Linked DNA regions of Anolis sagrei. The protein of the gene in region 2 purifies or fractionates together with the protein of the main gene of each other region. This does not show direct contact. Links are inferred from orthologs where the notes say so. Each region holds a gene or a part of one and is shown on either strand. Other genes may lie near its edges.

Region 1 (7,707 bases), on a different chromosome or scaffold from region 2:
GATTTCAGAATGAAATTATTCTGATTTTTGCCCTCAAAGTTGTAGTTTAATTTATTCAAAAAACTCAAGAGGGGTAATAGTATTTCTAACTGCTACAAGTTCACACCACTCCCTACACCTAATTGAGCCGGTCTGTAAATAACAACAATTCCTGCCAAAAATGGCCAGATTTATTCTCTCAACATTTATGGAACCTTGTGCTAGTCAATGCTGAAGTACAATTTTGTAACAGGGATGTTTCATTGTATTATGACAGCTACCCTTCAAGAGCTCTGGCTAAATTCAAAATGCCACTTCAATTTCAAAATTTTCAGTACTGTCCTGCCAAACACCCCATTGTGTAAACAATAATAATAATAATAATAAACAGCTTTTCCCAACTATAGATAAACTGAAGCCCCTTCCACACAACTGAATAAAATTTCACATTTCCTGCTTTGAACTGGGATATATGGAGTGTGGACTCAAGATAACCCAGTTCAAAACAGATATTGTGGGATTTTCTGCCTTGATATTTTGTGTTATATGGCTGTGTGGAAGGACCATGGGATATATGGCAGTATTGACTGACGACCCTTCCTGACAGGCACTATAACTCAGGATCTGATCCAAGGCTTTCTGCTTTAAACTGGATTATATGACTCTCCACTGCCAGATAATCTGGGATAAACAGAAAACCTAGGATCAGATCCTGGGATATAGGATCTGTCAGGAAGATACCTCAGATAACCCAGTTCAAAGTAGATTTTGTGGGTTATTCTGCCTTGATATTCTGGGTTATATGGCTGTGTGCAAGGGCCTTGAGGATTGAAGCAACAAATATTCAGCTCACGGAAACTTCTCAGCACTTGGCAGGGAATTATTATTACCTCTCAAGAAGAGGTTCGAACCAACGGGAACTGCCTTTTAATTCACGTAGAATGCAACACACAGATTTCAATGTGGTATTCACAAAATACAACACTTGAAATGTCAGGAGAATTAGTGTAGAAAACGCCCCTAGCTGTGCTCCTGGATGACACATCAAAGGGCGTTGGTGCAAAATGCCACCACTACGACTCTGCATGGGAGGAGGAGGAGAGTAGGCTCCGGAGGGGCAACATTCAAAGCAGGAAGAGGCAGGGGCGTGTGTGTAATGTGGGGGTGGGTGCCTGTCGTGGGGGATTGGGGAAGACAACGCCTAAAATACAGGAGGAAGCGTGTGAGGCTCTGATCCTCCTCCCAGCCTTATTATTATACAAGCCAAGAACATCCATCTATCCATCCATCCACCCGCATCTTGGGCCTGGCGCACACAACACAGGGAAAGGCAGGGAAGCAGCTTCCCGGAAGCCTCCGTCTCATATGAGCCTGTCACAGTTGCGACACAGAAGAAGGGATTTGGGAGGTGAAACAGACTCAGGGCCCTTCCACACAGCCCTAATATCACAGAATATCAAGGAAGAAAATCCCACAATATCTGCTTTGAACTGGGTTATCAGATAATGTGGGATTTTCTGCTTTGATATTCTGGGATATAGGGCTTTGTGGAAGGGCCCTCAGAACCGTCAGCATTGCAATGGATGTGATATTCTTTTCCACCATGCTCGATCAGAATCTCAATGGGCTGTGTGGAAGGGCCCTGAGTGGTATGTGAGGGGCCTTCCACATAGCCCTATACCCCAGAATATCAAGGCAGAAAATCCCACAGTATCTGCTTTTAACTGGGTTATCTGAGTATACCCTCAGATAATGTGGGATTTTCTGCTTTGATATTCTGGGATATGGGGCTGTGTGGAGGGGCCCTGAGTGGCAGAGGGTGCTCTGAATGGCTTTTCCTGCTTTTTGACAGGGGGTTAGACTGGATGGCCAACTCAATGATTCTACTTTGGAAATGACGGCGATATGGATGGGAAAATATCGACAAGAAAAGGTGTTTTTGTTGGCTCTTCTGGGCCCCTTCAACACTGCCATACGATCCTGATTACGGAAGCAGATAATCCACATTATCTGCTTTGAATTGAATTACACTGCCCTATAATCCAGATTATCGAAACAGACAATCCACAGGATCTGCTTCGAACTAGATTATACAGTATGAGCCCACACTGCCATATAACCCAGTTGAAAGAAGAGAATTTGGATTTTGTATGGCAGTGTAGATGGGGCCCTGGAAGCCCGTGAAGGGAGGCTGAATGAAGACCCCTCCACACAGCCCTATATCCCAGAATATCAAGGCAGAAAATCCTACATTATCTGAGTGTGGACTCAGATAACTCAGTTCCAAGCAGATATTGTGGGATTTTCTGCCTTGATATTCTGGGATATAGGGCTGTGTGGAAGGGCCCTGAGAATGTATTTTTGTCTCTCTGGTGGAAAAGGCATATGCATGTAATCCCTGCAGAGAGAGAGAGAGAGAGAGAGAGAGGCAAGGCGCCAGTCCGGCTCTCAGCTGAGAGAAGGGCAGGCGGAAAGAGACAGCGACGACGCCATGCGGAAGGGAAGGGAAAGCGAGGCAGGCCTCCCCAGCCCCCGACTGGCTGGCTGGCTGGCTGACCGGGAGCCTGGGCCCGAGGAGGCGGAGGAGGCCGCGAGGAGGGAAGCGTCAGCAAGATGGCGACGTCTCGTCCCGTTTCCCCGCTCGGAGCCTCCCCAGTGGCGACGGGCCCAAGCCTCCTTTTACAGGCCCCGAGGGAAGCCGCCCTCGATTTCCTCACAGCTCCCGGGGAGAAGGAGGCCCTCCCTCCTCCCCCCCCCCCCGAGAGGAGGCTTCACCTCCCTCACGGCGTACCTTTGAATTTGAGGTCGGTGGGCGGATCGAGCACCAGGATCTGGTCGTGCTTGGCCAGAGCCCCCGCGGCCGCCATCGCTGCTGCTCACACGTTCGCCTCAGTCCGGGAGCGGGAGGAGGAGGAGGAGGAGGAGGAGGAGGGCGCTCCGGTCGGGGAAAAGGAGGGGAGGGACGGAGAGGAGGAGGCGGAAGACGCGTAACAGGAGCACGCGCGCTCTCGTCAAGGCAAGCAGGCGTGTGTGCGCGCGCGCGCTCTCAGGGGCCCGCCTCAGCCTATGAGAATGCTTGTCATCTCTCTCCAATGGCACGGAGGGGCAAGCGGCCGGTTTAAGTTCTAAAAATTTTCGTTTCTCCGTCTTGCGAGAGAGAGAGAGAGCGCGCGCGGCTGCGAGACGCCGCGAGAGAGAGTCGTCTTCGCCGCTCTCGACACACGCAGGCGTGCGCGCGCGCGCGCGTTCCTTCCTGAGTGCCGCGAGACCGTCATTGACAGCTCGCCTCTCTCTCTCTCTCACTCTCTCTTTCACAACACCAGAGATGCGCTCGAGCCGGGTAGAGCGAGAGAGAGAGAGAGAAGAGCGCGCGCCGCTGTTTCGTGTCACGCGCGTCCTGGAGGGAGGAAGGAAAGGGAGAGATGGAAGTACAGGGAACACAAGAGCCCCCGGTGGCGCAGTGGGTTAAACCCCTGTGCTGGCCGAACTCAAGACCGACAGGTCGCAGGTTCGAATCCGGGGAGAGGCTCCACCTCTTCATATGGCTTGAATCCGTCTGTCAGCTCTAACTCGCCATGTGGGGACATGAGAGAAGCCTCCCACAAGGATGATTAAAAACATCAAATCATCCGGGCGTCCCTTGGGTAACGTCCTTGCAGACGGCCAATTCTCTCACACCAGAAGCAGTTTCTCAAGTCGCTCCTGACACGACAAAAAAAAAAAGGGAACACAAGACATTTGAATCCCTGTCAGGAGGGAAGATTGACAGGTCGGAAAGACAAGGCGGGGATAGTGAGAAGAGAGAGAGGTGCTTAAGTCAAAGTGGAAAAGAAAGGGAATTCGAGACCTATTCGACGTCGCCACAGTGAAGGGGGAAGCAGAGGACTACGACTCCCAGGATGCAGCGCGCGAGCCCGCTCCCCGAATTCTGCGGTCGGCGGGGGGCCAGGGCATGCTGGGAATTGTAGTCTCGAGGGAGGGAAGGGGGCACACACAGCCCAGGATGGGAGAAGGTGGGCGTTTCCCCCCTCAGGTTTAACACCCTTTGTGAAAGGAGAGGACAGGTTTAAAGCCTTGCCTTTCCTTCCAATCTGGACAAACGTTTCCAGCTGTCAAATTCAGAAATAATCCGGGTTTGCTAAATTTCAAACGTGTACAAAAATGCTCAAAATGCATCATGGCAAGCTTTCGAAGATCTCCTGATTTTTTGTATAACTGTGATTGCTTACAGTAGCGTTTCTCAACCTGGGGGTCGCGAGGGGGTGTCAGAGGGGTTGCCAAAGACCAGCAGAAAACGCAGTATTTTCTATTGTTGATGGGAGTTTTCTATTGTTGATGTAGTTGCTGGGATTTATAGTTCACCTACAATCAAAGAGCATTCTGAACCCCACCAAGGATAGAATTGGGTCAAACTTCCCCCAACTACAACTCCCAAATGTCAACGTATATTTTCCTCAAACTCCACCAGTATTCACATTTGGGTATATTCATGCCAAGTTTGGTCCAGATCCATCATTGTTTACTCTCTCCATACAGTTGAACTACAACTTCAAAACCCTTCCAGTATTTTCTGTTGGTCATGGGAGTTTGTGTACCAAGTTTGGTTCAGTTTCACCGTTGGTGAATTTCAAAATGCTCTTTGATTGCAAGTAACCCAGCAACTACAACTCCCCAATGACCAAATCAATTCCCCCTAACCCCACCAATATTGTTTTGGGGTGCATCAGGTATTTGTGCCAAATTTGGTCCAGTGAATAAAAATATATCCTACATATCAGATATTGACATTACAATTTATTACCGCAGAAAATTACTGTTATGAAGTAGCAAATAAAAGAATTGTATAGTTGGGGTCACCACAAATTGAGGAACTCTATTAAGGGGTCGCAACATTAGGAAGGTTGAGAACCACTGGCTTATAGTGTATTGGCAAACAAGGCGAGTGGAATTTCAGACATCAAAGAGGGATGCTATCAATAATCATAACATGGGATCCCTCCCTGACAGTCATTCAGAGTTGTTTCCGACTCTTCGTGATCTCATATTATATATATATATATATATATATATATATATATATATATATATATATATATAATATACATGTAATATTTATAATATTATAATGTAATCCAATATAATAATACTACTAATAATAATATGATATTATAATTATACTAGCTGTACCCGCCACGCGTTGCTGTGGCCAACCTTCCCTCCCTCTTTCTCTCCTTCTTTATTTCTCTCCTTCCCTCCGTTTTTCCTTCCTTCCCGCTTTTTCTTTTCCTTCTTTCTTCCTTCTTTATCTGTTTCTTTTCTCGCTTCCTTTGCTCTTTAGTTCCATCCTTCCTTGTTTCTTTCCTTCCTTCCCTCCTTCTCTCTCTCTTTCGTTCATTCTCTCCTTCCTTCCCTTTCACTTTTTTATTTCCTTCTCTCCTTCCTTCTCTACCTTTCTTTCTTTCCTTCTCCCCTCCTTCTTTCCCTCTTTCTCTCCCTCCTTCTCTCTCTCCTTCTCTCCTTCCTTCCTTCTCTACCCTTCTTTCTTTCCTTCTTTGTCTCCTTCTCTCCTTCCTTCTCTACCTTTCTTTCTTTCCTTCTCTCCTTCTTTCCCTCCTTCTCTCCTTCCTTCATTCTCTACCCTTCTTTCCTTCTCTCCTTCCCTCCTTCTTTCCCTCTTTCTCTCTCCTTCTCTACCCTTCTTTCTTTCCTTCCTTCTCTCCCTCCTCTCCTTCCTTCCTTCCTTCCCCCTTTTCTGTGTATGTATTTTGTGTGTGTATATGCATATATGTGTATCTATGTGTGTTTGTGTATATATGCGTGTGGTTTTGTGCATGAGTTGTAATGTATTTTGGGGTGGGTTTTTTTACTTTTTAAGTCCCTCCGCTGTGTTTTTTCCATGTTTTAATGACTAATGGACACTCGTTGGCCTGATAGGTGTCTTGTGTCCAAATTTGGTGTAAATTTGCCCAGTGGTTTTTGAGTTCTGTTAATCCCACAAACAAACATTACATTTTTATTTATATAGATATTTTATATTATATGTAATATTATTAATAATATATATATGCGTGTTTATTATATATTAATATATGCATATATATTAATTACATATATATATATGTATTAATATTATTAATAATATTACAGTCTAATGGTATAGTACAATATTGTAATCTATAATACTGATATTGTGCTATGCTAATAATATGTATTGTGCAAATTTTAAATGACTACCATGTTGACAAAAAGGGATCTGTTGCTGGTTGATATATTAGTTTGTGTGTGTGTGTGTGTGTGTGAAGCCCACAATACAATCTTCAGACACTAGGTGGCAGTCTTATCCAACCAGTTCATAGGTAGTTAGCAGTTTAGTCCAAGTTGAGGCCAGGGCAACCAAGAAAGAAGACACAATAGGCTCTCTGTAAAATGGAACCCAAGCTACTGTAACTCTCAAGCAACCAGCAAAATATATAGTTCAGTACTGTATTCTCAAGGCTATTCTTATAATACAGGAAAACTCTTGTCACATTACATTTGTCTTTAGTTGCTTTTTGTTGAAGTATCTCAACATTAGTATCAAATCAGTAGAGTTCATAGAGCCCCCGGTGGTGCAGTGGGTTAAACCCCTGTGCCGGCAGGACTGAAGACCAATAGGTCGCAGGTTCAAATCCGGGGAGAGGCGGATGAGCTCCCTCTATCAGCTCCAGCTTCTCATGCGGGGACATAAGAAAAGCCTCCCACAAGGATGATAAAAACATCAAATCATCCAGGCGTCCCCTGGGCAACATCCTTGCAGACGGCCAATTCTCTCACACCAGAAACAACTTACAGTTTCTCAAGTTGTTCCTGACACGACAAAAAAAAAAGTAGAGTTTATAGCAGGGATGGGCAAACTATGGCCCTCCAGGTGTTTTGGACTTCAGCTTAAGAGGCCAGAAATGTATTTTCTGTGGAATGTATTGTACTCATGACTACTATAACTTAACCTATTGATTTCATTGGACACTTTTAAATAAATTAAATTTGAATATAGTCCTGTGAGCTTATATTAGATGTGCATGAACAAGATCGGAGCTCCCTGTGGCACAACGGGTTAAACTGCTGAGATTCTGAACTTGCTGACTGAAAGCTCAGCAGTTTGAATCTAGGGAGTGGGATGAGCTCCTGCTGTTAGCCTCAGCTTCTGCCAACCTAGCAGTTCGAAAACATGCAAATGTGAGTAGATCAGTAGGTACTGCTATGGAGGGAAGATAACAGCACTCCATGTAGTCATGCTGGCCACCTGACTTTGGAGGCGTCTACGGAAAATGCCAGCTCTTTGGCGTAGAAATGGAGATAAGCACCACCTTCCAGAGTCAGACACGACTAGGGAAACCTTTACCTTAACTGTGAACAAGATATGGAGTGCAATCCTATGCATATATACTTAGAAAATAATTATCAATTTTCAGTGGTGTTCACATCGAAATAAGTATCAGCTTCACAGCATTCGCTTACAATATTAGGAAAACTGTTTCCAGGATATCTACTGTTACTATTCTGGTTTTTGTGAAATGACTTTGTAATTATGTATGTTTAACCTGGCAACAGGAGAATTAAGATCAATTGAATTTTTAAAAAATCTTGTACAGTTGCATCCAAGTGGTACTATATACCATGGCATACAATTCTTGCATTCTTATTTGACTTGATTTATAAAATATTTATTCTTTTTGGTCAGCTTGTATA
Region 2 (8,019 bases):
CAAATATAGTGCTGGCCTTGTCTTTATCTTTTAGTAGCAATAAGGAATGAGAAAATATGAGCAGTTGTCTAGTCATTTGTGGGAGTTTTTCTCTTCAGAGGGTTCTCTGGTACCCTACTCAAGAGGGAAAGAATATTTTGTTTTACCACTTTTTCAAAGGGTCATGTAAACCAATACTATTGCATTGTTGTTGTTTTTTTTGAAATGTTTTAGTTTACTTCTGCTTCAACCTGATTGTTTAATTCGGCTGCAGTACAGAACTTGCTATAGATCCTTTATTTTTATTTTTTAAATATTTGATTACAAGCTGGTCTAAGTATTATACAGACAGAACAAGATAAATAGATGATAAATAGATGAACAGATTGATTTTTAAAAAATACTTTTGTTAAAACCTTTATTAAAACCAATTGTTTAAAACCAAAAGTTATTGCACACATACCAGGTTGCTATTTTCTCAGAAATTGAAGCAAGATTGACATTTTCATACCTCTAACCTAGGTTAACTATGCTACATATGTTCTTGTTGCTCTGTGCCTTCTTCCAGTTACCTCCAATTTATGGTAGGCTGGCCCTATCATGGGTTTCAACTAGTGCAGTGGCGCAGTGGGTTAAACCCCTGTGTTGGCAGGACTGAAGATCGGCAGGTCACAGGTTCGAATCTGGGGAGAGCACGGATGAGCTCCCTCTATCAGCTCCAGCTCCCCATGCAGGGACATGAGAGAAGCCTCCCACAAGGATGTTAAAAACATCAAAACATCCGAGCGTCCCCTGGGCAATGTCCTTGCAGACGGCCAATTCTCTCACACCAGAAGCGACTTGCAGTTTCTCAAGTCGCTCCTGACACGACAAAAAACAAAACAAAACAAAAAACTAGTAAAACAACCTGGATTAGCATGATTGGTTTCCCTCTAGTGTTGAACACAGAACATTACAACAACAAAACAAAATCACTTCTTTAAATTAGGAGGCGCAATGGGTTAAACCAGGGGTCCTCAAACTTTTTAAACTGGGGGCCAGTTCACTGTCCCTCAGAACGTTGGAGGGCCGGACTATAGATTTTTTTAAAAAAAATAAATAAAAAAATTCCTATGCACATTGCACATATCTTATTTTGCTGTATGGAAGGGCCCTTAGAGGGGGTTCTTTCTAACCTTCTTTAGGCAGTAATTCCAGGAGCAGAGAATGGGAAATCTTCCTATTTCTAGTCTGAACAAAATCTGGCTATCAGTATTACAAAAACTCTAAAATTATAACTGTAGGGGGAAAAAAACAACAACCAAAAACAGGGGAACTCCAGACAAGAAACAATCAGGGCCAGCTAATCACCTCTCCCTAAAAACTGTCAGGCTATGAAATGGTAATCAAGGTGGCCAATTGAAACATTAATACCTACCTCCAACAGACAAGAGTTCTTTCTCCCACCCTGGATCTTCCACAATTTTCCTAGTTAAAGGTTTTCCTCTGACATGAAGTCCAGTTGTGTCTGACTCTGGGGTGTGGTGCTCATCTGCATTTCTAAGTCGAAGAGCCGGCATTGTCTGTAGACACCTCCAAGGTCATGTGGCCGGCATGACTGTATGGAGCACCGGGGCAGCCTCCCCGATGGGCAGCGTGAGCCTGCCAAGGGAAGAGCAGCACCGCGCGGCCTACTTTCGCATAAAGCACCTCGCGAGGCTCATGCTGCCCATCAGGCGCGATGGGCAGCATGAGCCTGTCAAGGGAGGAGCAGCACCGCGCGGCCTACTCGCGCATAAAGCACCTCGCGAGGTGCTTTACATTATTTACTTACTTACTTAGGCGATCCCTCGTTGTCTGAGTAGGATAGTCTTCCAAGATCAGTGTACTGGTGGGTCCGTAGGTGACTGTGGAGCCCTATTCTTGATCTGCATCTTCTCCCGCAGTGAGGACATTGGTTTTCAGGTGGAAGGCAGTCCCGGTTGGGGTGGGCATGATGCGCCTTCCTCATAGCATGTTTCTCTCATTCACCCTCCATTCGTGCCTCTTCAAATTCTACAGCACTGCTGGTCACAACTGACCTCCAGCTGGAGTGCTCAAGGGCCAGGACTTCCCAGTTCTCAGTGTCTATGCCAGAGTTTTTAAGGTTGGCTTTGAGCCCATCTTTAAATCTCTTTTCCTGCCCAACAACATTCCGTTTTCCATTCCTGAGTTCGGAGTAGAGCACTGCTTTGGGAGATGGTAGTTGGACATCCAGACAACGTGGCTGGCCCAGCAGAGTTGATGGCGGAGGACCATCACTTCAGTGCTGGTTGTCTTTGCTTCTTCCAACACGCTGACATTTGTCTGCTTATCTTCCTAGAAGATTCGTAGGATTTTCCAGAGAGAGTGCTGATGGAAACGTTCCAGGAGTCGCATGTGATGTCTGTAGACAGTCCACGTCTCACAGGCGTATAGCAGGGTTGGGAGGACAATAGCTTTATAAACAGTCAGACCCCCTTGATGGACAAGAATGTTGTCTAAATATGGCAGAAAATAGATCTATATCTACAGTCAGATCCCTAAGTTATTAACAGACACTAGCAACAAAATGACCCTCCCCCACACACACACAAATTGGTTGTTCTATAATTAAATAATGGTTGATGTGGCCAAGAGTTGGTGTCTGTATGGCAAAGAGCTAAGTTCAGTTTTAGTATCCATGACACATTGCCAGGTTCACATACCTTTAGTTCTAGGTACATGTCTTAAGAATTAGGTACTTTAAAAGTAGCACCACTAACATATTACACAGGATGTCAGAAGAAAGCACTTCACATCTATTAAAAATGAATACTTCATCATTCAGTTTCACCCCCGAGAAAAGAAAGAACAACCTACCAGAAGATTTGCAGAGAAGTTTGATTTTCCTTCTTCGTGGGTTACCCAAAGCCTTAGGGAACCAATAAAAAAACTGAGCTATCCTTCTAATAGTCCTGTTAATGTCATTTCTTATTGCCATTGCTAAAGGCTGCTTGCTACTCTTGAGGTAGAAAGAGTAGTGTAGAAAGGAAAGAAAACGCCTCAAATATCAACACACTGTTCAGATAGCTGGGAATAGACCCTCAGCCAGCCTGTCTCAAGACCACCTGTTGGTCCTAAATCCTCTTCTCCCCATTCGGTGAGCCAGAGATCTCTATCTTTATATGCAACAATAGCACTAGATTATCAAGTATTTTATTTATACAATAGTAAGATTAAGTCCGCTGTGTCTTTGCAAAATGCATACTCATTTCTAGGTCTGTTTCTAAAATCGTATTCTTTGCCGTATTTTCACAGGTTATGAACCAACGGTTTTCCATTTAGAAATTATTTTCTTGAATTAACAGAATTGGTAATATTATTGTTTTAATATGGTTGCTGAAGGAAATGAGATGCGGCTTAGAGAAAACTATAACAAAAAACGATCATGAATATACTTAGTTATTTTTTTATTGTAGACTTTCTGCTAAAGTTTTCTCAAACATTAGTCCTAAATCATCGATCTAAATCAGTGGTTCTCAACCTTCCTGATGCCGCAACCCCTTAATACAGTTCCTCGTGTTGTGGTGACCACCAACCATAACATTATTTTTGTTGCTAATTCATAACTGTAATCTTGCTACTGTTATGAATGGCAATGTAAACATCCAATATGCAGGATGTATTTTCATTCATTGGGGCTGATTGTGTCATTTGAGAGTTGTAGTTGCTGGGATTATAGTTTCCCTACAATCAAATAGCATTCTGAACTCCACCAACAATGGAATTGAACCAAACTTGGCACACAGAACTCCCTATGACAAAGAGAAAATACTGGAAGGGTTTGGTGGGCATTGACCTTGAGTTTTGGAGTTGTAGTTCACCTATATCCAGAGAGCACTGTGGACTCAAACAATGATGGATCTGGACCAAACTTGGCACAAACACCCAATATGCCCAAATGTGAACACTGGTGGAGTTTGGGGAAAATAGACTTGACATTTGGGAGTTGTAGTTGCTGGGATTTATAGTTCACCTAGAATCAAAGAGCACTCTGAACTCCACCAATTATAGAATTGGTGGAGTTCTCACACAGAACCCCCATGACCAACAAAAAATACTGTGTTTTCTGATGGTCTTTGGCAACTTCTCTGACACCCCCTCGCGACTCCCCCAGGGGACCCAACCCCCAGGTTGAGAAACACTGTTCTAAACAAATTACTTTTGATGTAACATGAATCAAGCCACTTAATAATGTAACTTTCAGGATCTCAATTTTCAGTCTGCAAAATGGACATGACATATTATCAGAGGCGACCCTAGGCAATTTTCAATGGTAAGCAAACAGTATTTTGGTGCTCCCAACCAATCACTGATATATATTTTTCTGTTCATCGTGGGAGTTCTGTGTGCCGTATTTGGTTCAATTCCATCATTGGTGGAGTTCAGAATGCTCTTTGATTGTAGGTGAACTATACATCCCAGTAACTACAACTTGCATATGTCAAGGTCTATTTTCCCCCAAGAGCGCCTCAAGAGCGCCCCTAGGCAAAATCAACTATACTGCAAATGCTTACTTTGCTTAATGGGTTGAGCCGCCTCTGCATATTATTACATTTGGATAAAAGGGCTTTCAGGGAACTGAATAGACAAAACTGTGGTGATCAAAAATACTTTATGATTTCATCTAAAACACTTACATCCTCCCCTTCTCAGCCTATTTCTCTTAGTTATCTAATTTTTAGGAGTAGACTTTTTTAATAGAAACAGACAAAACAGCACCCTGAAGATGTTACGGAGCAAAGGCCCTGGCTGGCAGAATTGCAGAAATGTTATTAAAAGCTTGTATAACACAAGGCAGAACATCAACTGTTCTGCAGATAGCCATGTCCCACTCCTACAGACTTAAACATGTGAAATATTTAACCCAACACTTTCAGATATTTTTAACTTACTGTCTTTTCTTTCCACACTGAATAAGGATAGCTAATATTTCCTGGGTCAATGTGTCCCTAAAAACAAAGCAAGCATTCCACTTGTACCAAATGTGTCACAATTCTTTGGCCAGGGTCAGTTTAAGAATAGGAGAGATATATCTATCTTGAAGAGTGCTGTTTTTGCACAGGAAATGAAACACACATTTAGGCAGGACCCATTGTTGCTGCCAGAATCTATGATTCTCCCCTCCTTTCTTCCCATCTCTTCAGAGTAATCTTTTAGGGTATTCAGGAAGGGGCTATATAAAGAGAGTTGCTAGTTCTGGCAAAGTGAGTGGAATCTAGTTTAAAACACAGATTCGGTATCTCAATGGATAGCTAGGATAGGACATTAATAAACATTTCATTCTTTGGTTTCCAACCTTTTTTGTACCAGGGACCTCTTCATTGGAGCATGTAAAAATCAGTTGGCGAGTGTGTTAACTGAAAATGCAAAGCACAAAGCTGATTGGTTGAGCTATGCCCAGGATGCTAGCTGAGCCTGGGAGTTTTGGCAACAGTTACATGTTTAGATTTTCTGTACAGGAGCTTGCCAGGAAAAGTTAGTAATTTTTTTTCTACTTCTGAGCTGCTGAAAGACGATCCTTCACATGGACACCCAAGGAATATTTAAATCTCTCTCAAAGGACATTGTGTGGGTTAATGCAACATGACTGTTTATATGTTGCTCTGCATAACAAAGAGTAAAAACCTTATTCTTTACTGATCATCTGCGTGGCATATCTCTTCTCTAGCAAGACAGTGTATGGATTGGTAAAGAGGTGAACTACGTGTGATTTTCATTCTGCTACACACTTGACCAGAGATCACTTTGACCAGGGACCATTTGACCAGGGACCACTTGAACAGGGACCACTCTCCAACATTAGTACCAAAAGGGTTATAAATCAGATTTTGGTCAACTTTAGATTCAGTTTGGTTGTTTGGGGTGCTGATTCAGAAAATGGCATTGGATAGACCACATTGGCTCTAGTTTCTGATACAGAACATGTGCCATCCAGTAGTCACCATCTGCTCGCCCACAGAAAATCAGATCTGGTAGTAGTAGTCTTTCATGGGTAGTCAGCCTCTCCCTTCCTGACATCTCCGTTGCCTTGGCACTATAAGAGGATTTTGTGAGACCAGTTGCTCTTGTTGCCACATGGTTTTGAGGCAACAGTATAGTAATAGTGAAACCACGGACCATATTTTTATTGTTGGGGACCACTGGTGGTCCATGGACCACAGTTTGGGAACCACAGTTTGGCCCACTAAATCATCAATTAATTTAAATTAAGGAAGCTCATGGTACAGTGCTAAATTACATGGTTTACATCTGAAAAATTCAGCTCAATCCTTGCCAGTTCCTGGTAAGAATACAAAAGGGATATGACTGAAAACTTGGGGCACTGCTGCCAGTTAGTGTGGACAATACTGAAATAAATGGATCAATGGTGTGACTTGGGCACATCTATGGCAGGAATCCTCAGAAGTTGTCAGGTCCTCACCTCGCAACCTCTGAGGATACCTGCCATAGATGTAGAGGAAATGTCAGGAGAGAATGCTTCTGGAACATGGCCATACAAAAACTTAATAGCTTTGCATTAATGCATCAAAAGGTATTCCCCTGACATTAAGTCTAGTCATGTCTGACTATGGGGAGTGGTGGTCATCTCCTTTTCTAAGCCGAAGAGCCGGCATTGTCCATAGACACCTCCAAGGTCTTGTAGCCACCATGACTGCATGGAGCACCATTACCTTCCTGCACAAGCAGTACCTATTGATCTACTCACATTTGCATGTTATCAAACTGCTAGGCTGGCAGAAGCTGTGGCTAACAGTGAAAGTTCACCTCACTCCCCGGATTTGAACCGCCAACTTTTCAATCAAAAAGTTCAGCAGCTCAGCGATTTAACCCGCTGCGCCACCAGCATGCATTATCTTTATTTAAAGAGTTCTCTCTTTTTATATGTACTAAGTAATTCATTATTTAGCTACAAAGTGTCAGTGCTGATGTAATTTCATTCAAAGAGAGCTTTTAGTGCTTTTTCATGACAGAGAAAACAATAGGAAGCCCCAACTAAGAGTAACATGCTTTGTTGGAGGGTACAGTGTAATGTTTTTGAATTGTATTCTCTAATGTTTGGCAACAAAAGCAAAATAAATAACCTTTGAGAAGCAAATTAGAAGTACAATTCAGCATACTTCAGTGCAGGATATGCAATTGTATTTTTACATTCTAATGGTTAGTGTTTGAGAACAAAAGGAAATAAAAACATAGCTTTTCAGGAATCATTGTTTTGAGAATTCCACTTCACATCCTTTTGTTTTGAAGAGCACAAAACATTCAACTTAAGGACAAACTAAGAATGAACAACTAGAAAAGCTTCCTCTGTTCTGACAAAATAAAACGTGAAAGCTAGTTCAACTGATTTTGCTTATCTTTGGTTATTCTGAAAGTTAATGTAGTCTGAAAGTATTCTGGCACAAAGGGAACTTACAAATAAAAATTTGTAGAACTGTATGTATCTGTTTATCTTCACAACTGTTCCATTTTATTCCTCATTCTTTCTTTATCATTTGTTAAGGATTCTCTGTTCACTAAACATGCTGCATCCCTTTTATTCCCTGCTCTCTAAATTGCATTGCATATTGCTTTGGTTTCACCCTTTTTAAGTGGGTGGGTGAGGTGGCCACATTTCTGTCTAATTCTAACTATACAAAACTCTATCCATTCATCTCTATTGGCTGGTTTCAAGTTGCTTCTGACTTATGGCAACCCAGTGGCACAATGGGTTAAAATCTTGTGCTGGCAGAACTGAAGTCCGACAGGTTGGAGGTTCGAATCAGGGGAGAGTGTGGATGAGCTCCCTTGGTCAGCTCCAGCTTTCCATGCGGGGATATGAGAGAAGCCTCCCACAAGGATGGTAAAACATCAAAACATCCAGGCATCTCCTCAGCAACGTCCTTGCAGATGGTCAATTCTCTCATACCAGAAGCAACTTGCAGTTTCTCAACATAAAAAAAAATCTTGAATGTTTATTTAAGAATTTGTGTTTGGTTGATCGAAATGACTATGTGCCAT
Region 3 (7,969 bases), on a different chromosome or scaffold from region 2:
ATAATGGCCTGACAGTGCCTAGAGCAAACTTTTGTTGAGAGGTGGTTAGATGATCCTCTCACCTCTGCAGGAGTCTACCGTATACCATGCAGCTGTGGACAAATCTACATAGGGACCACCAAATGCAGCGCCCAGACACGCATCAAGGAACATGAAAGGCACTGCAGACTACTTCAACCAGAGAAGTCAGCCATAGCAGAGCACCTGATGAACCAACCTGGACACAGCATATTATTTGAGAACACAGAAGTGCTGGACCACTCTCACAACCACCATGTCAGACTACACAGAGAAGCCATTGAAATCCACAAGCATGTGGACAATTTCAACAGAAAGGAGGAAACCATGAAAATGAACAAAATCTGGCTACCAGTATTAAAAAAAACTCTAAAATTACAACAGCACAACAACAGAGAGGAAACAAACAAGGACATCTAATCATCTCTCAACAAAAGTTTGCTCTAGGCATTATTTATTTATTTATCTATCGTGTCATCAGCAACCATACCACTGTATTACATTTCTAACAGAACAAAACAAACACGCAGATTAAAAAAAACAAAAAACTTGGTAGTTGATTAAATGTCCTTTGACCAGTATCTGGCCACTTGCAGTGCCTCTGGTGTTGCCGCAAGGAGGTCCTCCATTGTGCATGTGGCAGGGCTCAGGGTGCATTGCAGCAGGTGGTCAGTGGTTTGTTCTTCTCCGCACTCGCATGCCGTGGTTTCCACCCTGTAGTCCCATTTCTTAAGATTGGCTCTGCATCTCGTGGTGCATCTCGTGGTGCCAGAGCGCAGTCTGTTCAGCGCCTTCCAAGTCGCCCAGTCTTCTGTGTGCCCAGGGGGGAGTCTCTCATCTGGTATCACCCATGGATTGAGGTGCTGGGTTTAGGCCTGCCACTTTTGGACTCTCGCTTGCTGAGGTGTTCCAGCGAGTGTCTCTGTAGATCTAAGAAAACTATGTCTTGATTTAAGTCATTGACGTGCTGGCTGATACCCAAACAGGGGATGAGCTGGAGATGTCTCTGCCTTGGCCCTTTCACTATTGGGTGCTACTTCTCGGCGGATGTCAGGTGGTGCAATACCGGCTAAGCTCTAGGCACTGTCAAGCTCTAGGCCAGTGGTTCTCAACCTTCCTAATGCCGCGACCCCTTAATACAGTCCCTCATGTTGTGGTGACCCCCAACTATAACATTGTTTTCGTTGCTACTTCATAACAGCCATTTTACTGCTGTTATAAATCATAATGTAAATATTAGATATGCAAGATGTATTTTCATTCACTGGACCAAACTGGGCACAAATACCCAATGCACCCACATGTAAGTGGGGTTGGGGGATGATTGATTTTGTAATTTGGGAGTTGTGGTTGCTGGGATTTATAGTTCGCCTACAATCAAAGAGCATTCTGAACTCCGCCAGCGATGGATTTGAACCTAATTTGCCACACAGAACTCCCATGACCAATGGAAAACACTGGAAGGGTTTGGTGGGTATTGACCATGAGTTTGGGAGTTGTAGTTCACCTATATCCAGAGAGCACTGTGGCCTCACGCAATGGTGGATCTGGACCAAACTTGGCACAAATACTCAATATGCGCAAATGTGAACACTGGTGGAGCCTGGGGAAAATAGACCTTGACTTTTGGGAGTTGTAGTTGCTGGGATTTATAGTTTATTACAATCAAAGAGCATTCTGAACTCCACCAACGATAGAATTGGCTCAAACTTCCCACATGGAATTCCATGACCATCAGAAAATACTGTGTTTTCTGATGGTCTTTGGTGACCCCTCTGACATCCCTTAGCAACCCCCTCAGGGGTCCCGACCCCCAGGTTGAGAAATACTGCTCTAGGCACTGTCAAGCCACTGTCAAGGTGGTCATTTGAAACATTCACACCTAGCTCCAGCAGACAAGAATCCTTTGTCCCACCCTGGTCATTCCACAGATATATAAACCCTTTTTCTTAATTCCAACAGACCTCACTACTTCTGAGGATGCTTGCCATAGATGCAGGCGAAACGTCAGGAGAGAATGCCTCTAGACCATGACCATATAGCCCAAAAAAACCTACAACAACCCAGTGACTCAGGCCATGAAAGCCTTCGACAATAAACTATGATTTTGATTATTTGAAACAGGTGGTCATTTGAAACATTCACACCTAGCTCCAGCAGACAAGAATCCTTTGTCCCACCCTGGTCATTCCACAGATATATAAATCCCTTTTCTCAATTCCAACAGACCTCACTACATCTGAGGATGCTTGCCATAGATGCAGGCGAAACGTCAGGAGAGAATGCCTCTAGACCATGGCCATATAGCCCGAAAAAACCTACAACAACCCAGTGATTCAGGCCATGAATGTCTTGGACAATAAACTATGATTTTGATTATTTAAAGTGAAAGGGCACCCCCCCCCCCTTTACTGAAGTTCTCTCTCCTTCTGCTCCTACTGAATTCAATGAATGTGTTTATAGATGGCGGGGTGCCTCCTTGTGACCCCAAAGTCCCTCCAACACAGGGCCAGAGCGAGGCCTCTGGAGGGAGAAGGCCTCCCGGGGGAATCAAAGCAGAGCTGCGGTGCGGCCTAGCCCGGCTTCCTTCCTCCTGGCGCCCAAGGAAAGCCTCGTCCCCACCCGCCCGCCTCTTCCCCTTCCCCGGGGAGAAAGGGAGGCCGCTGGCTGTTACCTTTTCGGCGCGGCCTGCTCCATCCTGACGCCAGCGGCTCCGCAGGTCCCCCTGACTGGGCCTGGCCGAGGAAGGATCCCCTTCAGAAACTCTCCTCACAACTTTCGCCCGCTGCTGGCCCTTTAAAACGCCCCCTCCTCTTCCGGAGCCGCACTTCAATCGCAACCCCTCTGCCACTCAAGCGTTGGCCCACCCACAACCCTTCCTATTGGCTGCAAGGGGGTTCTGCTTAACGGCTATTGGCCCTCGCAAAAGCCAGTCGGAAAGCCAGAAAGCGGAAGAGAAAGTTGCTTCAGGCCCGGTGAATCTACGAAGGGACTCAATGGCCAGGAGGGACCAGAAGGGAGGGATTACGTCATCGTAATACGTCATCGACGGAGGGCCGTAAGGGCTCTTTTGCCCATCATGCACCGCGCCAATATGGTCTCCCAATGGGGAACGGTGCATGCTGGGCAATGTAGTCTTTGCTCATCATAAAACAGGACTCAACAGCAAAACCGCAGAGAGGGAACAACCAGGCACATCTTAACACCTCTCAACAGAACATTTCCCCAGGCTCAGCCAGGCCTTCAAATGCTAATGAAGGTGGTCAGCTGAAACATTCACACCTAGCTCCAGCAGACAAGAGTCCTTTGTCCCACCCTGGTCATTCCACAGATATATAAACCCATTTTCCTATTTCCACAGACCTCACTACCTCTGAGGATGCTTGCCATAGATGCAGGCGAAACGTCAGGAGAAATGCCTCTAGAACATGGCCCTATAGCCCGAAAAAACCTACAGGAACCTAGGAGAGTGATTTTTATACACCTGGATTGATATACACCTGGTACACCTCGCCTGAGGATTATTGTATACCATGTTTTGTAATAATTTTGTGCACACTGAACCATCATAACACAAAGATGCAAAGATGTCACTGTTTTAGGATGCATCTACACTGTAGAGTTGATCCACTTTGACACCCTTTCAACTGCTATGGCTGAATACTGTGGAATCTTGAAAGCTGTAGCTTTATCAGGTGTTCAGCCTTCTCTGAGAAATAATGCAAACCACAACTCCCAGGATTCCATAGCAATGAGCCATAGCAATTAAAGTGGTATCAAACTGAATTAATCCTACAGTGTAGACTAGGCATGGGCAAACTTCATCCCTCCAGATGTTCTGGACTACAACTCCCACAATTCCTAGCAGCGTCAGGCCCTTTCCTTTTCACCCTCAGCCGCTTAAGCGGCTGAGGGTGAAAAGGAAGGGGCCTGAGGCTGTTAGGAATAGTGGGAGTTGTAGTCCAGAACAGCTGGAGGGATGAAGTTTGTCCATGCCCGGTGTAGACGCACTCTGTCACCCATTTAGATAATTTCAGGATGAGGGATGCTCAAACTGTTTAGCAAGCCTTGCAAATGCTGATTTCTTTTCAGTAAATGTTTGGTTTTTATACTTATTTTATTCTTCAATATCTGGGGTCACATAAAATGTTTTCAGGCCAAAACGGGTGGAAAAGTTTAAGAAGCCCTGTTTCTTAAACAATGGGTACCAACCCCAAATGGGTCATTAAAAAAATTGGCCATGTAAAAGTTTTCCAAATGCCACCTAGTGGCTGTTTTAGACATTTACATGAACCTGTTGTGCAGCATTTACAGTGGGCTCAGTAGAAGATGCGGCTGCCGCACTTCATAAAAAAGATCTTGTCCTTTCCCCTTACTACTTTTCTATCCAAAGTCTTAATTGTCTAGTTGTAGTTTTATCAGGGGTTTAGCCTTCTCTGAGAAATAGTGCAGCTCTTATCCTTTTGCTGCTTTATCACCTATACACATTAGACCTACCATTAAATTGTTGTACCAGACCATCCTCCTACAATGAGACTTGAATTGGTGGTTGTTCCTGATGCTTGTTTTATTGTTTTTTATAATGTTGCTTATGTTGTTTTTATATTGATTATTGCATTTTATATTGATTATTGCATGTTATGTTTTAACTGTTGACTGGGCTTGGTTTCATGTAAACTGCCCCGAGTCCCTTCAAGGAGATGGAGGGAGGGTATAGAAATAAAGTTATTATATTATTATTATGTGAAATACAAGATGAGTCCACAGCAAACAAAAACACTTTGCTGGCTGTTGTATTTGATCACACATTGGACACTTCCCAAGTGTCTAGGACTGTGTGATGCATCGGTGAATAATGCATGCAGATCCCTGTAGGGTGGCCTTTTGCAGCTGACAGATGGTAATTTTGTCAGCGCTGATTGTGTTTAAGTGCAGGCCAAGGTCTTTAGGCACTGCACCCACTGTGCCGATCACCACTGGGAACACCTTGTCCGGCTTGTGCCAGAGTCTTTGCAGTTCAATCTTTATATCCTCATATCATGTCAGCTTTTCCAGTTGTTTCTCTTCAATCCTGCTGTCATCTAGGATTGCAAGATTGACAATCCATAAAACTCTGTCTGTCTGAATTCGGAAGTCGCAGAGTAGTTTGACATGTTCATTTTCTGTAACTTTTTCCGGCTTGTGATTCCACCAGTTCTTTACCACAGGCAGGTGGTATTTATGGCACAGGTTCCAATGAATCATCTGAGCAACGGTATTATGCCTCTGTTTGTAGTCTGTCTATGCGATCTTCTTGCAGCAGCTGAGGATGTGATCTATTGTTTCATCTGCTTCCTTGCAGAGTCTGCATTTGGGATCTGTCATCGACTTTTCAATTCTGGCTTTGATGGCATTTGTTCTAATATTTATATTATTTATATTATAAATATAACTATAATATATAATGTATAATAAATAATAATAATTATTATTATTTATTATACATTATATATTATAGTTATTATTGTTGTTGTTATAAAAAGGGAAACCAGGCTGTTTAGCAAGCCTTGCAAATCAGTAAATGTTTTATATATACATATATATCTGAGATCACATAAAGATTTCTCAGGATGAAAGAGCTTGTGAGTGTAGAAGCCCTGGCCTAGGCCAGTTGGATTATTTTGGTTCCTCAGGACCCTTCCACACAGCCCCATATCCCAGAATATCAAGGCAGAAAATCCCACATTATCTGCTTTGAACTGGAATATATGCCAATGTGGACTCAGCTAACCCAGTTCAAAGCAGATATTTTGGGATTTTCTGCCTTGATATTCTGGGATATGGGGCTGTGTGGAATGGCCCTCAGATAGAAAAGGAGGCACGCATCTTTCCTGGAAGTAAAACATAAAATCTAAGGGCCCTCCCACATAGGCATATAACCCAGAATATCAAGGCAGATGATCCACAATATCTGCTTTGAACTGGATTATCTGAGTCACACTGCCGTATAATCTGGTTCAATGTGGATTTTATACAGCTGTATGGTTATTATGAACTGTCAAGCGGCTGATTTTTCATGACCAAATACATCCCTTTAGTGGCCTTTTCCTGTTACCTAATTTTAACATCACAATAATCTGGCATTTGAAGTGCAGGAAAAAATGAAAATACTATTTGCTTCTGGTTAAATATACTTATACTAAAGAAATAAACAATCAAAGGAATTTCCTTCTTCAAACTGAAAATCAAGCATCATAGCAATTGATCCACAGTGTTACTAAAGCATGACTATGGCCCCTTCTACACTGCCATATAAAATCCAGATTATCTTCTTTGAAATCTATTATATGGTAGTGTAGACTCAGGCCCCTTCTACACTGTCATACAATCTAGATTATCGAAGCAGATAATCCACATTATCTGCCTTGAACTGGATTATATGAGTCTGTACTGCTATATAATCCAGTCAAAGATAGATTATATAACTGTGTAGAAGGAGCCTGAAGCTGAATCTACACTGTGCTACATCCCAGAATCTGACCCCAGATTATCTACTTATATTATCTGGCAGTGTAGACTCATATTATCCAGTTCAAAACAAATAATCTGGGATCAGATCCTGGAATATAGAGCAGTGTAGATCAAACCTTAGGTTAGGGTATATACAGTAGGAGTTTTTTCCCTTATGAAATAAAACCTTACATTTAAGGAATTCCTGATCAGACTGCGAATAATCATCCATCCATCCCTCCCCACCTCTTTTTTGTTGCTTTCTTTATATCAGTAGAATAGAATAGCCAGCCACATTGATTTCCATCACATCAATGTCATGGTTTATCCGTTTCCCTCTATTATTGAAGACCTGGATGAGAGAGAAAGAGAAATGCAGTCTCTTTATTCATGAACATTAGTGTCAGAAACATGAAACTGCAACAATGAGAGATGGAAATCTGACACGCTCGCTCTGCATTGGGTGTGAGGAGGATTCGAAGTATGGTGTTAGAGAACCTTGCCCTGTTGAAGAGAATGCACCACATAAATCAGCCAATAACCTTGGCTACATTTGTCTAGAACTAAACCAAAGAAAGAGAAAACAGGCAGAGCAGAAGTCTGTTCCCTTATCAGCTTTAGTAATCTTATTCACACTGAGAGACCAGATGTAACTAAGGGGCCCAGGGAAAAATAAAAAGAAGATGGACTGTAAGAAGATGCACAGTAATGTACAATCTGCATTTACAGTTCAATAAACAGATTGATAATCTGCATATATGGTTCTGCTACGTAAGGGAAATTTCTACAATATCTGCTAGCAAATGCATACCATCCAGTGGGATTCTTATTTGACAGACTGCTGGTGAAAATCAGGGTGTTATTGTGATGATGTCATTAGCGAGACGTCTCAAAAAAGACGTCTCAAAAAAGAAATGACTGAGCATTACCCTATAGTGACAAAAATTAAGTTTGTTCCTGAGTTTCCATCTACATTACCCTATAATACAATTTCATAATGCAGTTTAACTACATTGAACTGCATTAAATATGGGATCAAATTTAGAGTAAGGACCACGGTAATGCACGTCCCTGCCCGGCGAGCTTTATGCTAAACCAGATTTTTCCCAATTGAAAGCACACTCACCAAGACTGAAAGCAGTAACAGAGGCTTATTTGCAACCTGGCCAGATATTTACGTGTACAGCTAGCACCAAAAATACACACATGTTCGCGAATACAGAGACACAAGACTTTATAAACTTGACAGCTATTTAAACTTTCTTGCTCCACCGACTCCCTTCCCTGATTGGCTAGAGGAAGAGCTGGTTTGGATCCGGGCTCCCATTGGCCGCTGTCTCTATGACTTGTCACCTCCATGCAGGGATTCCCCTGGAAGGGATTGATCTGGGGAGTGCCAATCAGCTGTTGAGGGGCAGCTTTTCTGGAATGAGACGAGTCTTGGAAAGTCTGTGTCCACCTC
Region 4 (7,099 bases), on a different chromosome or scaffold from region 2:
CTCCAAAACACAAGGCTGGTTTTAATTTTAATTCCTAACTATGGTTTGTCATCATAGAAACACTGAGGAATAGGCTCTTTTGCTTAACTGCATTTTGCAGTGCTGCTAAAATTAAAAAAAAATGTGGTTGATGTTAGCAATAGAAGTAATCTACTCTCAGATCATAAATCCGAATGGTTGCACTACTATAGTTCAAATGACACCCTAAATGGTGATGTACATAACATGAAACTAGAAAAGCTTATGATTTCCTTATAGCAGTGATGCAAGCAAGCCTAGAAGATAGTCAGTTTTGAAATGCAAAAACATTTAGTGTTATGTCAAGACACAACTGGGGAATGCCAAAGAGCTAGTACCACTCAGATACCTAGGATGCACCAGGGTAACTAACAGAAAATATTTCTGTTTTTGACAGCTTGGGACCTGTACTTTCAGTGATCCCTTTTCTACTATGGATGGACTCAACACTGACATTTAGACTGCATTTTTTCACATAATATCATGACTTAATTACACTTACAAGCATTCATCTAAAGATTACTAAGGAGTAGTATAGATATGTACTTGCAGACATGGTATGAGTTATATTAACACCAAATATTTTATCACACTCAATGCAAATCCACCATATTTATTTATTTATTTATTTTATTAATCAATTTTAAACTCCCCGAAGGCTCGGAGCAGTCTATAAAATCTATATAAATAAAAATGTAATGTCCGTTTGTGGGATTAACAGAACTCAAAAACCACTGGATGAATTGACACCAAATTTGGACACAAGACACCTAACAACTCAGTGTATGTCCTTCACCCCCCCCCCCCAAAAGATTTTGTCATTTGGGACTTGTAGTTGGTGGGATTTATAGTTCAATCAAAGCATTCTGAACCCCACCAATGATGGAATTGAACCAGACTTGGTACACAGTTTTCCCATGACCAACAGAAAATACTGGAAGGGTTTGGTGGGCAGTGTCCTTTGGTTTTGGAGTTGTAGTTCACCTACATCCAGAGATCACTGTGGACTCAAACAATGATGGATCTGGACCAAACTCTTCACGAATACTCAATATGCCCAAATGTGAATACTAGTGGAGTTTGGGGAAAATAGAATCTTGACATTTGGGAGTTATAGTTTATGGGATTTACAGTTCACCTACAATCACAGAGCATTCTGAACCCCACCAACGATAGAATTGGGACAAACTTCCCACACAGAACCCCATGACCACCAGAGTGGGCCACAGCTAGTTGATTAATAAATGTGAAGAAAGCTAGAAAATGTCACAGTAAAATGTATTTCTCCAACAACCATAATCATTTGCAACCACCAACTATGCAATAATAATAATAATAATAATAATAATAATAATAATAATAATAATAATAATAATTTACCACCCTATCTTCCTGAGGGAGCACAGGGCGGTTCCCATCCAGACCTCTGCAACGCATGGCAGGGGGTGGCTAGTTGGATAATAAAACTATAACTATAACAAAATCAATAAAAACATGAACATTAGTGTCTCCTATTAAAAAACATTGTTCAATCACATCGTCCAACCATTCCATTTTCCTATGTCTATTACACTATATTTGGAAATGCCTGCTCAAAGAGCCAAGTCTTGACTCTCTTTCGAAATGTTAAAAGGAAGGGGACCGATCTGATATCCTTAGGGAGGGCATTCCATAACCGAGGGGCCACCACTGAGAAGGCCCTGTCTCTCGTTCACGCCAGACGTACTTGTGACGAAGGCGGGACCGAGAGCAGTGCCTCCCCAGACAATCTTAAAGTCCTGGAGGGTTCATAAGATGCGTTCGGACAGGTAAGTTGGGCCAGAACCGTTAACTGTTTTGAACTGGATTCATTATAAGAGTCTACACTGCCCTATAATCCAGTTGAAAGAAGATAAGGCAGGTGTGGGAGGGGGATGGTAACTAGACCCCTATAGATCCTATAATAATTTTCTTCAGCCAGCACCTTAATCACTGACTTGGACATCACCTCAGCCTTGTTGACTTGTAAATGCCTTTTTACTTTTAATATTTTGAGTGTTTGCATTTTCTTGCCCTGATGAAGGGAGTTGGACTGGATGGCCTTAAGTATTTTCTGTTGCTCATGGGGGTTCAGTATGGGAAGTTTGCCCCGATTCTGTCATTCGTGGGTTCAATCAAAGAGCATTCTGAATTCGTGGGTTCAGAATGCTCTTTGATTGTAGGTGAACTGTGAATCCCAGTGACTACAACTCCCAAATGTCAAGGTCTATTTTCCCCATACTCCATCTGTGTTAATATTTGGGCGTATTGAGTGGTTGTGCCAAGTTTGGTCCAGATCCATCATTATTTGAGTGTACAGTGCTCTCTGGATGTAGGTGAACTACAACTCCCAAACTCAAGGTCAATGCCCACCAAGAACCCTTCCAGTATTTTCTATTGGTCAAGGGAGTCCTGTGTGCCAAGTTTGGTTCAGTTCATTCATTGAACTCCCAAATGACAAAAGCATAATTTTTTGAGTGATGGTCACTCCTTGTCTTGTGAGATGTTTTGTTGCCAAAATTTGGTGTGATTTCGTCCATTGGTTCTTTTGTTTTTAAGGTACTCATTATGCACAGAGCATTTATATATATATAGGTTCTTGCGGGTTTTTTCGGGCTATAGGGCCATGTTCTAGAGGCATTTCTCCTGACGTTTTGCCTGCATCTATGGCAAGCATCCTCAGAGGTAGTGCGGTCTGTTGGAAATAGGAAAATGGGTTTATATATCTGTGTAATGGCTGGGGTGGGGCAAAGAGCTCTTCTCTGCTAGAGCTAGGTGTGAATGTTTCAACTGACCACCTTCATTATCATTTGAAGGCCTGCCTGAGCCTGGGAAAATCTCTTGTTGAGAGGTGTTAAGATGTGCCTGGTTGTTTTCTCTCTGTTGTTTTGCTGTTGTAATTTTAGAGTTTTTAAATACTGGTAGCCAGATTTTGTTCATTTTCATGGTCTCTTCCTTTCTGTTGAAATTGTCCACATGCTTGTGGATTTCAATGGCTTCTCTGTGTAGTCTGACATGGTACTTGTTAGAGTGGTCCAGCATTTCTGTGTTCTCAAATAATATGCTGTGTCCAGGCTGGTTCATCAGGTGCTCTGCTATGGCTGACTTCTCTGGTTGAAGTAGTCTGCAGTGCCTTTCATGTTCCTTGATGCGTGTCTGGGCGATGCTGCGTTTGGTGGTCCCTATGTAGACTTGTCCACAGCTGCATGGTATATGGTAGACTCCTGCAGAGGTGAGAGGATCCCTCTTGTCCTTTGCTGAACATAGCATTTGTTGGATTTTCTTGGTGGGTTTGTAGATGGTTTGTATGTTATGTTTCCTCATCAGCTTCCCTATGCGGTCAGTGGTTCCCTTGTAATGTAATGTTTGTTTGTGGGATTAACAGAACTCAAAAACCATTGGACGAATTGACACCAAATTTGGACACAAGACACCTAACAACTCAGTGTATGTCCTTCACTCAAAAAAAAAAAAGATTTTGTCATTTGGGACTTGTAGTTGGTGGGATTTATAGTTCAATCAAAGAGCATTCTGAACCCCACCAATGATGGAATTGAACCAGACTTGGCACACAGTTTTCCCATGACCAACAGAAAATACTGGAAGGGTTTGGTGGGCAGTGTCCTTTGGTTTTGGAGTTGTAGTTCACCTACATCCAGAGATCACTGTGGACTCAAACAATGATGGATCTGGACCAAACTCTACACGAATACTCAATATGCCCAAATGTGAATACTGGTGGAGTTTGGGGAAAATAGAATCTTGACACTTGGGAGTTGTAGTTATTTATTATATTATAATCTGGATTCAGAAACTCGGATTATAGGGCAATGTAGATGGGACTTCAGCCAAACTACAGCTCCCACGGCTCCACAGCCTGGGACTGGACTGAACTCAGGCTGCTGCGCGAGCTCGGCCACGCCCATCGAGGGGGCGGGCTTAATCTCCTCCAAGAGTTTGAGGAGGGGGGGGGAAGCAAGCACGTGGTTCGTGCCGCGCGCGGCTCTCTAGCGGGCGGGCTTCGGATTGGCTGTTGCCGGGAAGCGGAAGTGGGCCTGGTGCCTTGGGAGGGCGGGGCTGAGCGAGAGGTTCTTCTCAGAGCCCGGCAGCACGCGCGAAGGGATGGAGCGACGGCGGTGAGTGAAGGAGTGAGTGGTGTGTGCGGCGCCCTTGGCCTCCCTCACAGCCTCTTCCCTCAGTCGGGGGCAGAAGAAGAAGAGGAGGAGGCCGCCATGGAGACCGTGCAGCTGCGCCACCCGCGCCGGTGAGAAGCTCTGGAGGGCTTGAGGGAGGGAGGGAGGAGGCAGCCTCGAAAGGGGGGAAAGGAGGGCGGGGTGGGGCCAGTGCTTGAGGCAAAGGGGAAGGTCGGCTGGGTGTCAAAGGCTTTCTTCTTTCCCCCACTGCCTCCCCGCCCTTCTCAGGCCTTCCTTTTTTCCTCCTCCTTGGGGAATGTATTTCATCCCGATGATGATGATGATGATGATGATGATGATTATTAGTTGTAGTATTTATATCCCGCTTTCTCTCTCTTCAGTGTGACTCAAAAGCAGCTAACAATATTAAAGAATAAAAGTGCACAGATTAAAACAAAAAGGATGTAAACAAATATTTATTTAAAACTAGCGTTGCTGTGTCCAATCTCCCCTTCCCCTTTCTCTCCTTCTCTTTTTTCTTTCCTTTTCTCCTTCTTTCTCTACCTCTCCTTCCTTCCCCTCTCTTTATCTTCCCCTTTTTTCTTTCTGTCTTTCCTTCTTCCTTCCTATTCTTGGACTGCAACTCCCAGCAGTCCTCCTGATCGATCGATCTACCTACCTATCTCTATGTAATAATAATAATAATAATAATAATACTTTATTTGTACCCCGCTACCATCTCCGAACCCGAACACAACAATACAACAATACATGAGGCCGAGCCCGAACACAACAATACAAGCAATTAAAATAAAAACATAAACAATAAACATATCACATTATCAATAAGACAACATACAATTAAAAACTGTGGGAAGGCCAAATGTAAAATTAAAATTGGAAATAGTGCTGAAACATGGGCGAAAAGGTGATAGTGGCGTTTGTGGAAAGACGTGTAATCTATCTATCTTATCTATCTGGAGGATTGCTGAGAGTTTATTTATTTATTTATTTATTTCAAAGTTTTCTATACCGAACTTCTCAATCTCATTGAGGGACTCAGCCCGGTTTCCAACCATAAAAACACATACACTCATTAAAATATCATATATCACAATTACAATAACAAGTTTAAAATAACACTATATATAAAACTACGGTGGTCAGTCGTCATATTAAAATCAGATCTACATCATCTTCCATCCAGAATCCTAGGGTGTTGTCTCATTCATCGAAAGCCTGACTGCACAGCCACGTCTTCACTCGTTTCCTAAGTGTCAGGATAGACGCGGCGGTTCTGACCTCCGGTGGGAGAGAGTTCCAGAGTTGCGGGGCCACCACCGAGAAGGCCCTGTCCCTCGTCCCCACCAGACGCGCTTGAAAGGCCGGTGGGACCGAGAGCAGGGCCTCTCCAGATGATCTTAATAATCTTGATGGTTCGTAGGGGAGAATACGTTCGGAGAGGTAAACAGGAGAGTTGCAGTCCAGGAATACGAAATTGGAAATATGCACTGTATTGTTGTTTAGTTTTTTTTTGGTTTTTAATTTTTTTTTTCCGCTGGCTTTTTTTTTGGGGGGGGGGGGATATGAGTTATGGTCACTCATTGGTCTGTTAAGGGTATAGTGTCCAAATTTTGTGTCAATTCGTCCAGTGGTTTTTCAGCTATGTTAATCCCACAAACTAAAATTACATTTTTATTTATATAGATAACATATATCCTATTATTATTATAATTATTATTATTATTTTTATTAATGAATGCCCTGATTTTTCTGTCTTCAAAATAGCTCAGGAGCAGCTAATAATATTAAAAAATAAAATGCACAAAATTAAAACCAGAAAGATGTAAACAAATGTTTATCTCAAAATATATACTCTGTTTAATATTATTTATATCCCACTTTTTCTGTCTTCAAAATGATTCAAAAGCAGCTAACACTGTTAAAAAATAAAAATGCACAAATTAAAACCAAAAGGATATAAACAAATATTTATTTTTTAAAAATATTAGTATTTATTATCTCCTTTTTCTGTCTTCAAAATAACGCAAAGCAGCTAACAACATTAAAAAATAAAAATGCACAAATTAAAAACAAAAAGATGTAAACAAATATTTATCTAAAAACATGTACCCTTCTTCTTCATATTCCCCTTTTTCTCTACAAAAGAGACTCAAAGCGGCTTCAGTAAAACAAATGCAATACAATTTAAAACCTAAAAATATACAAACTTTAAAATCTTTGCATTTGCTCCGCTTGCCCTTCTTTGTCAAGCATCTCAGGAGAAATTTTGTCATCCAAGAACATAAACTTCCCTTTACGGCACTCCATGAGTGGTTTAACTGCCATGGTTCAATGCTGTAGGAACATGGGGATTGTAGTTTTACAAGATCTTAAGCCTTTTCTATCAAAGAGGTTTTATGTCTCACCATACTATAGGTACCACAGGTCCATAGCAATGAGCCAAGGCAGTCAAAGTTTCAAACTGCATTAGTTTTGCAATGTGGATGCAGCCTTGGAGGTTATCAGATGGAGATGAGATTCCCAGTGGGTATAAATAGTGGAATACTTTCTATTTGATGGGGGAAGAAGATTTCTTTTTACGTCTTCCGTACATGTATACACTCTTTAAAAATAATACTTTTTTTTACCCACAGCTTCTCAAGTCATGGTACAACATAGTTAAAATACACAGATAAAAATATAAGCCCATTTAAAATGTGTAGGTTAAAGCACATTAAAATTATTCATATTAATAAAATGTCAGCTTTCTTCACGGTGGATTTGGATTGAGTGTGATCAAGTCTTCGGTGTTAATATAACTCATACCATGTCTGCATGTACATATTTGTACTATCATCCATGGTAGAAAAAGTTTCACTGAAAGTACAGGTCCCAAGTTGTCAAAACTGAAATATTTTCTGTTAGTT

Evidence for each region.
Region 1: the proteins of RASSF3 (region 2) and VAPA purify together in Homo sapiens (co-immunoprecipitation; 3 studies listed by BioGRID and IntAct, with this or other methods). This does not show direct contact. The link is inferred for Anolis sagrei from reciprocal best matches to the Homo sapiens genes RASSF3 and VAPA.
Region 3: the proteins of RASSF3 (region 2) and STK3 purify together in Homo sapiens (affinity purification with mass spectrometry; 4 studies listed by BioGRID and IntAct, with this or other methods). This does not show direct contact. The link is inferred for Anolis sagrei from reciprocal best matches to the Homo sapiens genes RASSF3 and STK3.
Region 4: the proteins of RASSF3 (region 2) and STK4 purify together in Homo sapiens (affinity purification with mass spectrometry; 5 studies listed by BioGRID and IntAct, with this or other methods). This does not show direct contact. The link is inferred for Anolis sagrei from reciprocal best matches to the Homo sapiens genes RASSF3 and STK4.

What each region holds. Positions count from the first base shown.
Region 1 is NC_090024.1:64,967,886-64,975,592, reverse strand, and holds the start of VAPA (vesicle-associated membrane protein-associated protein A), read right to left. Parts: upstream 3,012-7,707; 5' UTR 2,847-3,011; coding exon 2,771-2,846; intron 1-2,770. UniProt on the Homo sapiens protein: Endoplasmic reticulum (ER)-anchored protein that mediates the formation of contact sites between the ER and endosomes via interaction with FFAT motif-containing proteins such as STARD3 or WDR44.
Region 2 is NC_090025.1:141,289,923-141,297,941, reverse strand, and holds the start of RASSF3 (ras association domain-containing protein 3), read right to left. Parts: upstream 3,005-8,019; 5' UTR 2,960-3,004; coding exon 2,839-2,959; intron 1-2,838.
Region 3 is NC_090024.1:31,779,579-31,787,547, reverse strand, and holds the start of STK3 (serine/threonine-protein kinase 3), read right to left. Parts: upstream 3,019-7,969; 5' UTR 2,716-3,018; coding exon 2,693-2,715; intron 1-2,692. UniProt on the Homo sapiens protein: Stress-activated, pro-apoptotic kinase which, following caspase-cleavage, enters the nucleus and induces chromatin condensation followed by internucleosomal DNA fragmentation.
Region 4 is NC_090024.1:217,653,861-217,660,959, reverse strand, and holds the start of STK4 (serine/threonine-protein kinase 4), read left to right. Parts: upstream 1-4,090; 5' UTR 4,091-4,268; coding exon 4,269-4,300; intron 4,301-7,099. UniProt on the Homo sapiens protein: Stress-activated, pro-apoptotic kinase which, following caspase-cleavage, enters the nucleus and induces chromatin condensation followed by internucleosomal DNA fragmentation.